Linked DNA regions of Canis lupus familiaris. The protein of the gene in region 1 binds, or shares a complex with, the protein of each later gene. Links are inferred from orthologs where the notes say so. Each region holds a gene or a part of one and is shown on either strand. Other genes may lie near its edges.

The links.
Region 2: ZNF541 (region 1) and SAP30 share a complex: the UniProt entries of both Homo sapiens proteins name them as parts of the histone deacetylase complex. The link is inferred for Canis lupus familiaris from reciprocal best matches to the Homo sapiens genes ZNF541 and SAP30.

What each region holds. Positions count from the first base shown.
Region 1 is NC_049222.1:109,165,680-109,170,082, forward strand, and holds the start of ZNF541 (zinc finger protein 541), read left to right. Parts: upstream 1-1,470; 5' UTR 1,471-1,515; intron 1,516-1,609; exon of another isoform or gene 1,610-1,650; intron 1,651-1,784; exon of another isoform or gene 1,785-2,667; 5' UTR 2,668-2,829; intron 2,830-3,762; exon of another isoform or gene 3,763-3,843; intron 3,844-4,403. UniProt on the Homo sapiens protein: Transcription regulator which is essential for male fertility and for the completion of meiotic prophase in spermatocytes.
Region 2 is NC_049246.1:24,119,986-24,124,349, forward strand, and holds the start of SAP30 (histone deacetylase complex subunit SAP30), read left to right. Parts: upstream 1-1,541; 5' UTR 1,542-1,855; coding exon 1,856-2,170; intron 2,171-3,825; coding exon 3,826-3,951; intron 3,952-4,364. UniProt on the Homo sapiens protein: Involved in the functional recruitment of the Sin3-histone deacetylase complex (HDAC) to a specific subset of N-CoR corepressor complexes. Capable of transcription repression by N-CoR.

The DNA.
Region 1 (4,403 bases):
CAGTCCCAGAGTCACTAAGCTACCTGTGGCTCTACTCAAAATGTGACTGCTCTGGATTAAGATGTCCAGACTTTCCAAAAAAAAAAAAAAGGAACTTATTAAAAATTTTGTATTGATTACATGCTGAAATAACATTTTGTGTTTTTTTTTTACAATTTTATTTTTTGACACACAGAGAGAGAGCATAAGTAAGCAGTGGTAGGCAGAAGAAGGAGAAGCAGGCTCCCTACTGAGCAGTGTGACCCATGCCAGGCTGGATCCCAGGGCCCTGAGATCACGACCTGAGCCCAAGGCAGGTGCTTAACCAACTGAGCCACCCAGGTGCCCCAACATTTTGGTTTAGGTTGTACTATTAAAGCTAATTTCATGTCATTGCATCCTGTATCATTTGGACAGCGCTGCTGAGAACACAAGCTCGAGCGGGAATGTGCGTCTGACTCAGACATTGCTCCGTCTGCTCTATCTCAGATCAGAAGCTCAATAAATATTTGCTCAATGAAGGAATCCAAAAGTAGAATGCTGGTCTTTTTCTTATCCTCTCTGTTCCGTCCGTCTAACCCAGGGATCAAAAAAAAAAAAAAATCAAATCAACAAAACTTTACTGAGATATTATTTCCATAAAATCCAACCTTTTCTAGTGAATTCAGCACGGCGTGCAACCACCGCCGCTCACTTCTAGAATCTTTCCATCACCCCAATCAGATGCCCTTATGCTCCGGTACGGGGGGGGGGGTCCCCATTCCCACCCAGGCGCCTGCAAAGCTGCTCTCGAACTCCTCAGATGGTCGGGGTTCACTTCCTAGGGGATGAGTTGCCCGTCTTGGGGGCTCTGGGGTAGCACCCTCAGGCCACGGCTCACCCCGGTCCCATCCCTCCGCCCAGCAGGACCCAGCGGGGAGCTGGACCCCCACCCCCACCCCCACCCCCGGCACGACGGGGCCGCGTAGCCGCATCTTCCCAGCCCACCGAAGAGCAGGTCTTCGCGGCTCCCGCTCGCGCCGCGGCTGCCTCGAGGGACCCCGAGACCCGGCCGGGCGGGACCCCGCCCTTGCAGCCCCCACCGCGGGCCACCGCAGCTCGGAGCGGCCGCTGGGAGCCCGAGTCCCCCGCCGCTGCGTTCTAACGCCGCCCTCCAGGAACAATGGCCGGAGCCGACCGACTCCGGGCCTCCGCGTGCGGGTGTCGGGGAGCCCGGAAGGCCGGCCCCTCGCCACCCCCGTCCCCGCCCCCGCCGCAGGCCCTTCCCGGGCTCCACTTTGACTCTCTCCCAGCCTCAACTGCCCCCCTCGCAAAATGGCGACCAACCGCCTCCTTTCCCGCCTGCCGTCGGTCACCTGACCGCACCAAGCCCCGCCCCTCGCGTGGCCCCGCCCCCTCCCGTCCGAGGCCCAATAGCTGCGGAGACCTCGCCGCCGGGCGGCACGCGCCGGGAGCCCGGGCGGCGCGAGGGGCGCGCGAGGCCGCCCTGGGTGTCGTGGGGGGACCCGCAGCCACGCACGCGCGCCCCCGCCGCGGGTGAGCGGGCCGCTCCGGGGGCGGGCTGAGGTGCGCGTGCGCGCCCGGAGGCGGGCGGCGCGAGGGGGGCAGGGGGCCGCTGGGAGGCCCGCCCGGCGCGAGGCTCGAGGCCGGCGCGCGAGCCCCCGGGGGCGGGTAAAACCCGGTTGCTGCTGCCCCTGCCCCCTCCCTTTCCTCCCTACCCCCCCCTTCCCGCCCCTCCTCACTTTTCAACCCCTCCCCCCCCTTAAAATCTAATTCGTTTATATATTTGTTTTTTAGGGGGCCCATCTCCCTTTCGAGGAGCGCAGCAGGCGCGGCGGGCGCCCCTCACCCCGCGTCACGCACGCACCTTCTGCACCCCAACAGCTCCGGGCCCCGCTGCACCCCGCAGGCCCTTCGCCCTTGGAGAAGGCTCTCCTGGGGGGGCCCCTGGCCCACTGCATCCCCTTCCTTACCTCCCCCGCCCCGCAGGCCCCAACTGCCCCCTCGCAGCCCCCCCCCGGCTCGCGCCTCGGGCCCTACCGACCTCGGCGCTTTCTGCACCGCGGCCTTGCATTCGCTCTAGCTTCCAGGCCTTCTGCTAAAAATCACCTTTCCTCCTGAATAGGGGACCCGAATTTTTCTTTTAGGATCTTCCAGCAAAACCAAAAATCTCTTCTCTTCTTTGATTATACCCTTCAACCTCCTTTTAGAAACTTTCTCTAGCAAAAAAGAATATAAATATATATATATATTTTTTTCTTTTCTGGATTTTTCCTCCATTCAGGATCTCTTTCCAGCAAAAATTTTCTGCCCACCAAGAGCCCCCCTTTTTGTCCTATCTTTCCACTGATAGCAGAGGAGCTCTGTTCTTCCAGTTTCTCATGTAATACTTGTTTTTCCAACGCTCTTCTCGACCTCTTCAGCAAAAATCCCTTTTTTGTCCATCACCAGTTTTACCCCAATTAGGCTTTTCCCAGCAAACCCCTCAGGTCCCTTCCCTAGGAAGGAAAGTAAGGAAAAGACAAAAATAACTCCCTTAACTGCAAAACCCTTTCCCTATCTAGATCTCCCCAATTTAGTATTGCTTCCTTCCTTCTTCCAAAAATTGCCTGTCATCCCCACAGTTTCACACCTGTGTGCTTGCTTCTTTGGGGACCCAAGTTCTGAATGCCCCTTCCTTTCCACCAGCTGCTTTCAGGACACAAGAAGTTGGATGAGTGTCCTGAATTTGCTACCCGGAGTTCCAGGAGGAAATATCCAGTGGTCTGACGGTCACCTGAACCCCCTCCCTGTGGGTCCTAAATTGGGCCCTCCTGTTCCCTGGAGATTCACTCATTTGTTCTTCTCCTGGTGAGTTTTCCCCTTTGCCCCTGTCCACAGATCCCTTCTTTGTCAGGATTCCTTCCTTTCTCAGAAGGATTTCTAATTGGCCCAAGTCTCTGTACCGATGATGAAACCATTATAAGTTTCTGCTTTGTGAGGTCAGATAAGGAAAAGGTTATGTATAGTGCATATTGGTAAATGCCTGCAGTGTGATGAACCAAAGGTCACGTGCCCCATCTAAGTGATACCAGTCAGTGGAAATGCCAGGACAGTGTTGCCAGAACTTTAAAAAAAAATTGTTTTTGAGAAGAGACACTATATTTATGTCAAACCTTTTGATCTGTAAATGGTGACAATGAATTTAATAGGTATTTAAAGGCAGTGTGGAGCCCTTACAAAACATGCCAGCTGGCCACCAGTTTGGAATATTTGGTTTAGGGTTTCTTTCTGTGTAAGACTTGCATACACAGATACTCACCCACTTGGGCACATGTGGATGCAGGACTTTTCCTCTTTACAGCCACAGTTCTCTAGCTTTTTGATCTTAGGGCTCCCCCCCTTATATTTAAAAATCATTGAAGATCCCAGAGAATTTGTGCACGTGAACTCTATACTGCTGATATTTGCACTATTAGAGGTTTAATACGTTTTTAAAATACTTATTCATTTATTTATTTATGATAGTCACACAGAGAGAGAGAGAGAGAGGCAGAGACATAGGCAGATGGAGAAGCAGGCTCCATGCACCGGGAGCCCAACGTGGGATTCGATCCCAGGTCTCCAGGATCAGGCCCTGGGCCAAAGGCAGGCGCCAAACCGCTGCGCCACCCAGGGATCCCTACTTATTCATTTAAAAATAAGTGATAAGCTTATTATGTTAACAAAATTGACTATTTTAAATATTTTTTGAAAGATGATATTTCAGAAAGAAATTTCGTGAGAATAGTGGCATTGTCTTACCTTTTGGAGTCACCTAGAATCTTATTTCTGCTACTGCATTCAGCCTTTTGAAATATTCCCTGTAGCTTCTGGAAAGTCTCACTGAGAATGAAAAAGGCAGGTAATGTCTGAATATTATTATGAAAATAGTTTTGACTCGAAGAATCCCTGCAAGACTCTGAGGACCCCCCAGGTTTCCCACCCCCATCCGCCTCACTTGGAAAACCTGCTGTTCTAGATGTTAATGCTTATTTGTATTTTATGCTAGGATCAGCTTTTGGAATGAGAAGGCTTGAGGTCTCTTTTCCTCCCTTAGTTAATTCTATGTGAGAAATTTTCTTAGAAAGCATAGTCATAGTTTTCTGATTCCTCCTTGTCTTCTATCTAGTTCTTAATGTGAGCTGTAAATCTGTTCTTTTAATGAGCAGAAGAGATGAGTTACCCTAATGGTTTAAATTATAATGGTTACATGATCAAGGGAGGGAGTGTTCTTTGGTTGTTCAGCTTAGGAAAGGACGTACGGCACATGGGGCAGGAGTCCCAGTCTCAGGTGTGGAATCCTACCATAGATGAGTGGTTACATGTGACGGTTTTGACATCAGAATACCCGGGGTTGAATTCTAACCTTGATCTTGGGCAGTTACTTAACTTCTCTGGGCTTT
Region 2 (4,364 bases), on another chromosome or scaffold:
GGGTGGCTCAGTGGTTAAGCATCTACCTTGGGCTCAGGTCACGATCTCAGCGTCCTAGGATGGAGTCCCGCATGGGGCTCCCTGCAGGGAACCTGCTTCTCCCTCTGCCTGTGTCTTTGCCTCTCTCTCTCTCTGTTTCTCACGAAGAAATAAAATCTTAAAAAATAAAAAGGGTAACACAACATACTTACCATGCAGCATCTTCCTTTTGCTCATTCAATTTACGTAATAATATCTTAACGTTTTGTTTTTGTTTTTGTTTTTTGTTTTTCCCTTTGCCATAGCCTAGAACTGAAAAGCACAGACGGAATGGATGGCTTTGAATTTCAGGGCAGATGACATTTAGGTTTTTTTAAAAAATCATCTATCACTAAATTCACTCAGCAAGCCTGAAAGAACTTGCAAAAGAACCTGGTTCGTATTTTTATTTAAGCCAAAGGACGGCTAAACAGGACACATCCGATACAGTCACAGTGACGCGCAGCAACCGGCAAAGGCGCACGCGCTCCTATCAGCCGCTCCATTCCCCGGCCCCGCCCCCTACAAGCACGCGCCCACGGGCACGCACGCGCACTCACGCACTCTACACGCACAGGCGCGGGCGGATACACACACACACACACGCACGCACGCACTCTACACGCACAGGCGCGGGCGGATACCCCAGGAAATGCGGGTTCTTTCTGGCCTTTCACTCCGCAGAGAGAACGCCGGGAAGTTTCCGAGGAGCACTCACGCTAACTATATCGGGGCTCCACGTCCCCCTGGACAGGGTCCTGGATCCCACTTTTCTCTAGGGCCTTTAGAAGAGAAACGGTGAAGGTTGGGTGGGGGTGGAGGCGGAAAGAAGCCGCTCCACCGCAGGAAGCGGCCAACTTTGATCGCCCCAAAATGAAACCCGATCTTCGCAGGAACGTGCAAGGATTTAAAAACGGCCTTCAGCTGAGGCACTTGGGAAGCGGCCCTGTCACGGTCGAGGTCGGAAGGGCGTTTTTGCCTCAGCTGGTGTGTCAATGAATGGAACTGTGACCCGGGACCTGCGGCATCTCCCGGACCCGAAGAGCGCCAGCTTCCCCGAGTTCTCCTTGGTTTGGGTGTCCCACAAAAGCATGGCCACACCAAAAATTCTTTTTCCACAGTAAGAAAACGGCCCCGAAACTTTTTCACGCCGCACCTTCCCTCCTAGCTTCCCGCCCAGAACATTTTGCGCCTCGCCTCAGGAGCGGGGTGGCCGCTTTGTCTAGTAGAACGCCAACACTGCAGAATCCCGGTAGCGAAAGACGGAGCAACTTCCTGGGAGAGACTAGAAGCGAGAAAACATCACCACCCCTAACCACACGCCCCTGTTTTCCCACTGACTTAAAATAAATAAATAAATAAATTAGCAGCCGAAGCCCTGCCCGTCGCCGCGCGATGCATGCTAGCATAAGTAGTTCCAAGGCGCCCAGTTCGGGGTGGAACTCAGAGTGATTCCCCCTCAAAGAACTACAATTCCCATGGTGCCCTGCCACACAGTGGAAGGGGCGGGGCAGGAGAGGGCTCGTCGCGCGTGCGCAGGTCGGGGGGCCGGAGGGAGGCGGAGGCGCCAGGGTCCAACTGCTGAAGCGTCTCCATGTGACAGTGACCGGAGTCCTAACTCCTGGCGCCGCCCGGTTCTGGCTTCTGACCCCAAACGCTGTCCCCCATCCCGGCGCCAGCGGACAACAGCAGACCGGGACGCCTGGTGTGTGGCGGTGCCGCTGGAGGAATCGCCCCGGCGGGGTCAGGTGTCTGAGGGACCCCGCGGAGACCCCGGAGTCTCCGCAGAGAGGGGGAGCGGCGAGCCGAGCGGGGGTTTCTGTCGGCACGCGGAGACATGAATGGCTTCACGCCTGAGGAGATGAGCCGCGGCGGGGACGCGGCCGCCGCAGTGGCCGCCGTGGTCGCCGCCGCCGCCGCGGCCGCCTCGGCCGGGAACGGGGCAGGGGCCGGCGCCGGGGCTGAGGTGCCGGGTGCCGGGGCGGTGTCGGCTGCTGGGCCCCCGGGGGCGGCCGGGCCGGGCCCCGGACAGCTGTGCTGCCTGCGGGAGGACGGAGAGCGGTGCGGCCGGGCGGCGGGCAACGCCAGCTTCAGCAAGAGGATCCAGAAGAGCATCTCCCAGAAGAAGGTGAAAATCGAGCTGGAGAAGAGCGTGAGTGACGGCGGGACGGCCATGCCCTGCCCTGCTCTGGGGCTCCCGGAGCGGTGCCGACCGGGGTTCAGGGGCGGACGGTTCGGGGGTCCCCTAGACCTGGCTGTGGCGCGAGCCCGTCGCGTGGTCTCGGGTAGGACGCGAACCACAAAGTCGCCGCAACTCGGACCGCCTCCCCCGCAGACCCACGCCAGCCGGCCGCGGGTCCGCTGCTCCCCCCGCCCCCCCCCCGCCTCCTCTCCCTCGCGTGCCCACCCCCACCCTTCCTACCCAACCCCCGCGCACCCCCACCCCGTTCCGGGTGTCCGCCCTGCTCGCCGTCCAACCCCTTCCTCCTTCCCTGAGGTCGGGACACGAAACAAAGAGCACCGCGGCTCGGAGGGCCCGGAGTAGTTTTCTTGCAGCCTGTCCGCTCCTCCTTTGTTTTGCTGCCCAAGCTGGCGCGTGGCCCCGGGGAGCAACCCCCGGCTGTAGGCAAAAGTGTAGTCCTGCAAGCGAGGCCCTGGTGCCGCGGTGGAGACCGACTCCTCTGCTCGTCCGCCGGGTTGCGGAGGGAAGAGAGCCGAGCTCACCCCGCGCGGTGCAGACCGCCGGGCTGGTGGACGCCGCCAGCATCCAGCGCAGCTGCCGGGAATGTGGGGAGCCCGCTGCCTCTGCGGCGCTGCCACCCCTTCGGCAGCATCCGGATTTCCTTTACCGTCCTTGTTGTACACGTCCGTTTCTTGTGTTTCTTTGACCATCTGTGAGGTTTTCAGAAACAACCATTGGCACTTTGCGGAGTTTTGGCTGGCGGTGAATGGATAACAAGATGCCAGAACCTAGCATACGCCCTGCATAATTTTAACTTGGACTTCGTTTACAAGTTAAATTTCAAAGCCTTAGTCTTTAATCGCTTGTTGTTGTTGTTTTTTAAAGGAGTTTAAACTGTTAATAATGCAGCCCAGTATTTCAGATGTTACCATACAGCGCTCAAGACTACATTTAATTGAAGCTTTTGCAAAGTTTGTGATCTATTATGCCTGTTAAAGAGTTCTTCAGTCATGCTTGGGAGACACTTCTCAAGTAAACTTGAATAGTTTCACATTGCCTTTGGTTGAAAAAAACGTAATACAGACAAATACATTCATTAAATACTCAGAAGCTTGTAATTCAGATGTAAATATAAGTAGTATATGAAATCGGTAGCTCGTTTGTAAAAATGGATAGTTTTGTATCTGGATTATAATTTGAGTACTGAGAAAGGATATGAAGCTACTAAAATGTGCTCTTTAGAGAAAATACTGTCAGTAGCAGAATTGTGGGCAACATCATCTTTCCACTTATTAAAAAAACAGCGTGACCTAACAAATCTAATTCACCCTCACTACAGTTTAATTAAAAAATCCAGACAATTGCAATTTCTCATTCTGCTTGTCTGCTTCCCTTCCTTCCTTCCTTTCACTCCTCCCCACCCCACTCTCCAATCCTCTTAACCCTATTGTCAGACACGGTATGTTCTAACTGAATACAGGACTTAAGCATAGAAATATGCTGTTGTCTTAACAATGGCCTATTTTGACTTTTTATTTTTAATAATTCACTGTGCCCTATGTATTTTACTAATACGTAGACACGTTACATAATAATAAGTAGTCTGTGAAACTTTTTTGTTTTAGGCAAGGCATCTTTACATTTGTGATTATCATAAAAACTTAATTCAGAGTGTTCGAAACAGAAGAAAGAGAAAAGGGAGTGATGATGATGGAGGAGATTCACCTGTTCAAGATATCGATACGCCAGAGGTAAAGTTTCTGTATGTTAAATGTAAATCCTAAGTATTCCATTCTGAAACTTCTATTAAAAGATAGGAACAAATTTTAAAAATACTTAATGCGAAAAATCTGAAAATGAAAGCAAAATTAAATATAGCCAATTAATAGGCAGTTGTAGTTTGACTTATGTTTTCAATTCACAATGCTTATACCTCTATTGCCTTCTTTTTTTGCTCCCAGTTCTCAGTATTTACCTTCAAAAGATTGAAGTGCTCTATATATTTGTAGTTTTGATTATGTAAAAGAAGTAATGGAATGGAATTAATTAAATAATGTAATTTTTGTTACTTAATTACATTTTTGTTGTACCAAAATTGAAATGCTATTATGCATATCAAAGATAACAATTTAAAAATTGCATGAACTAATTCTTACATGTTTAT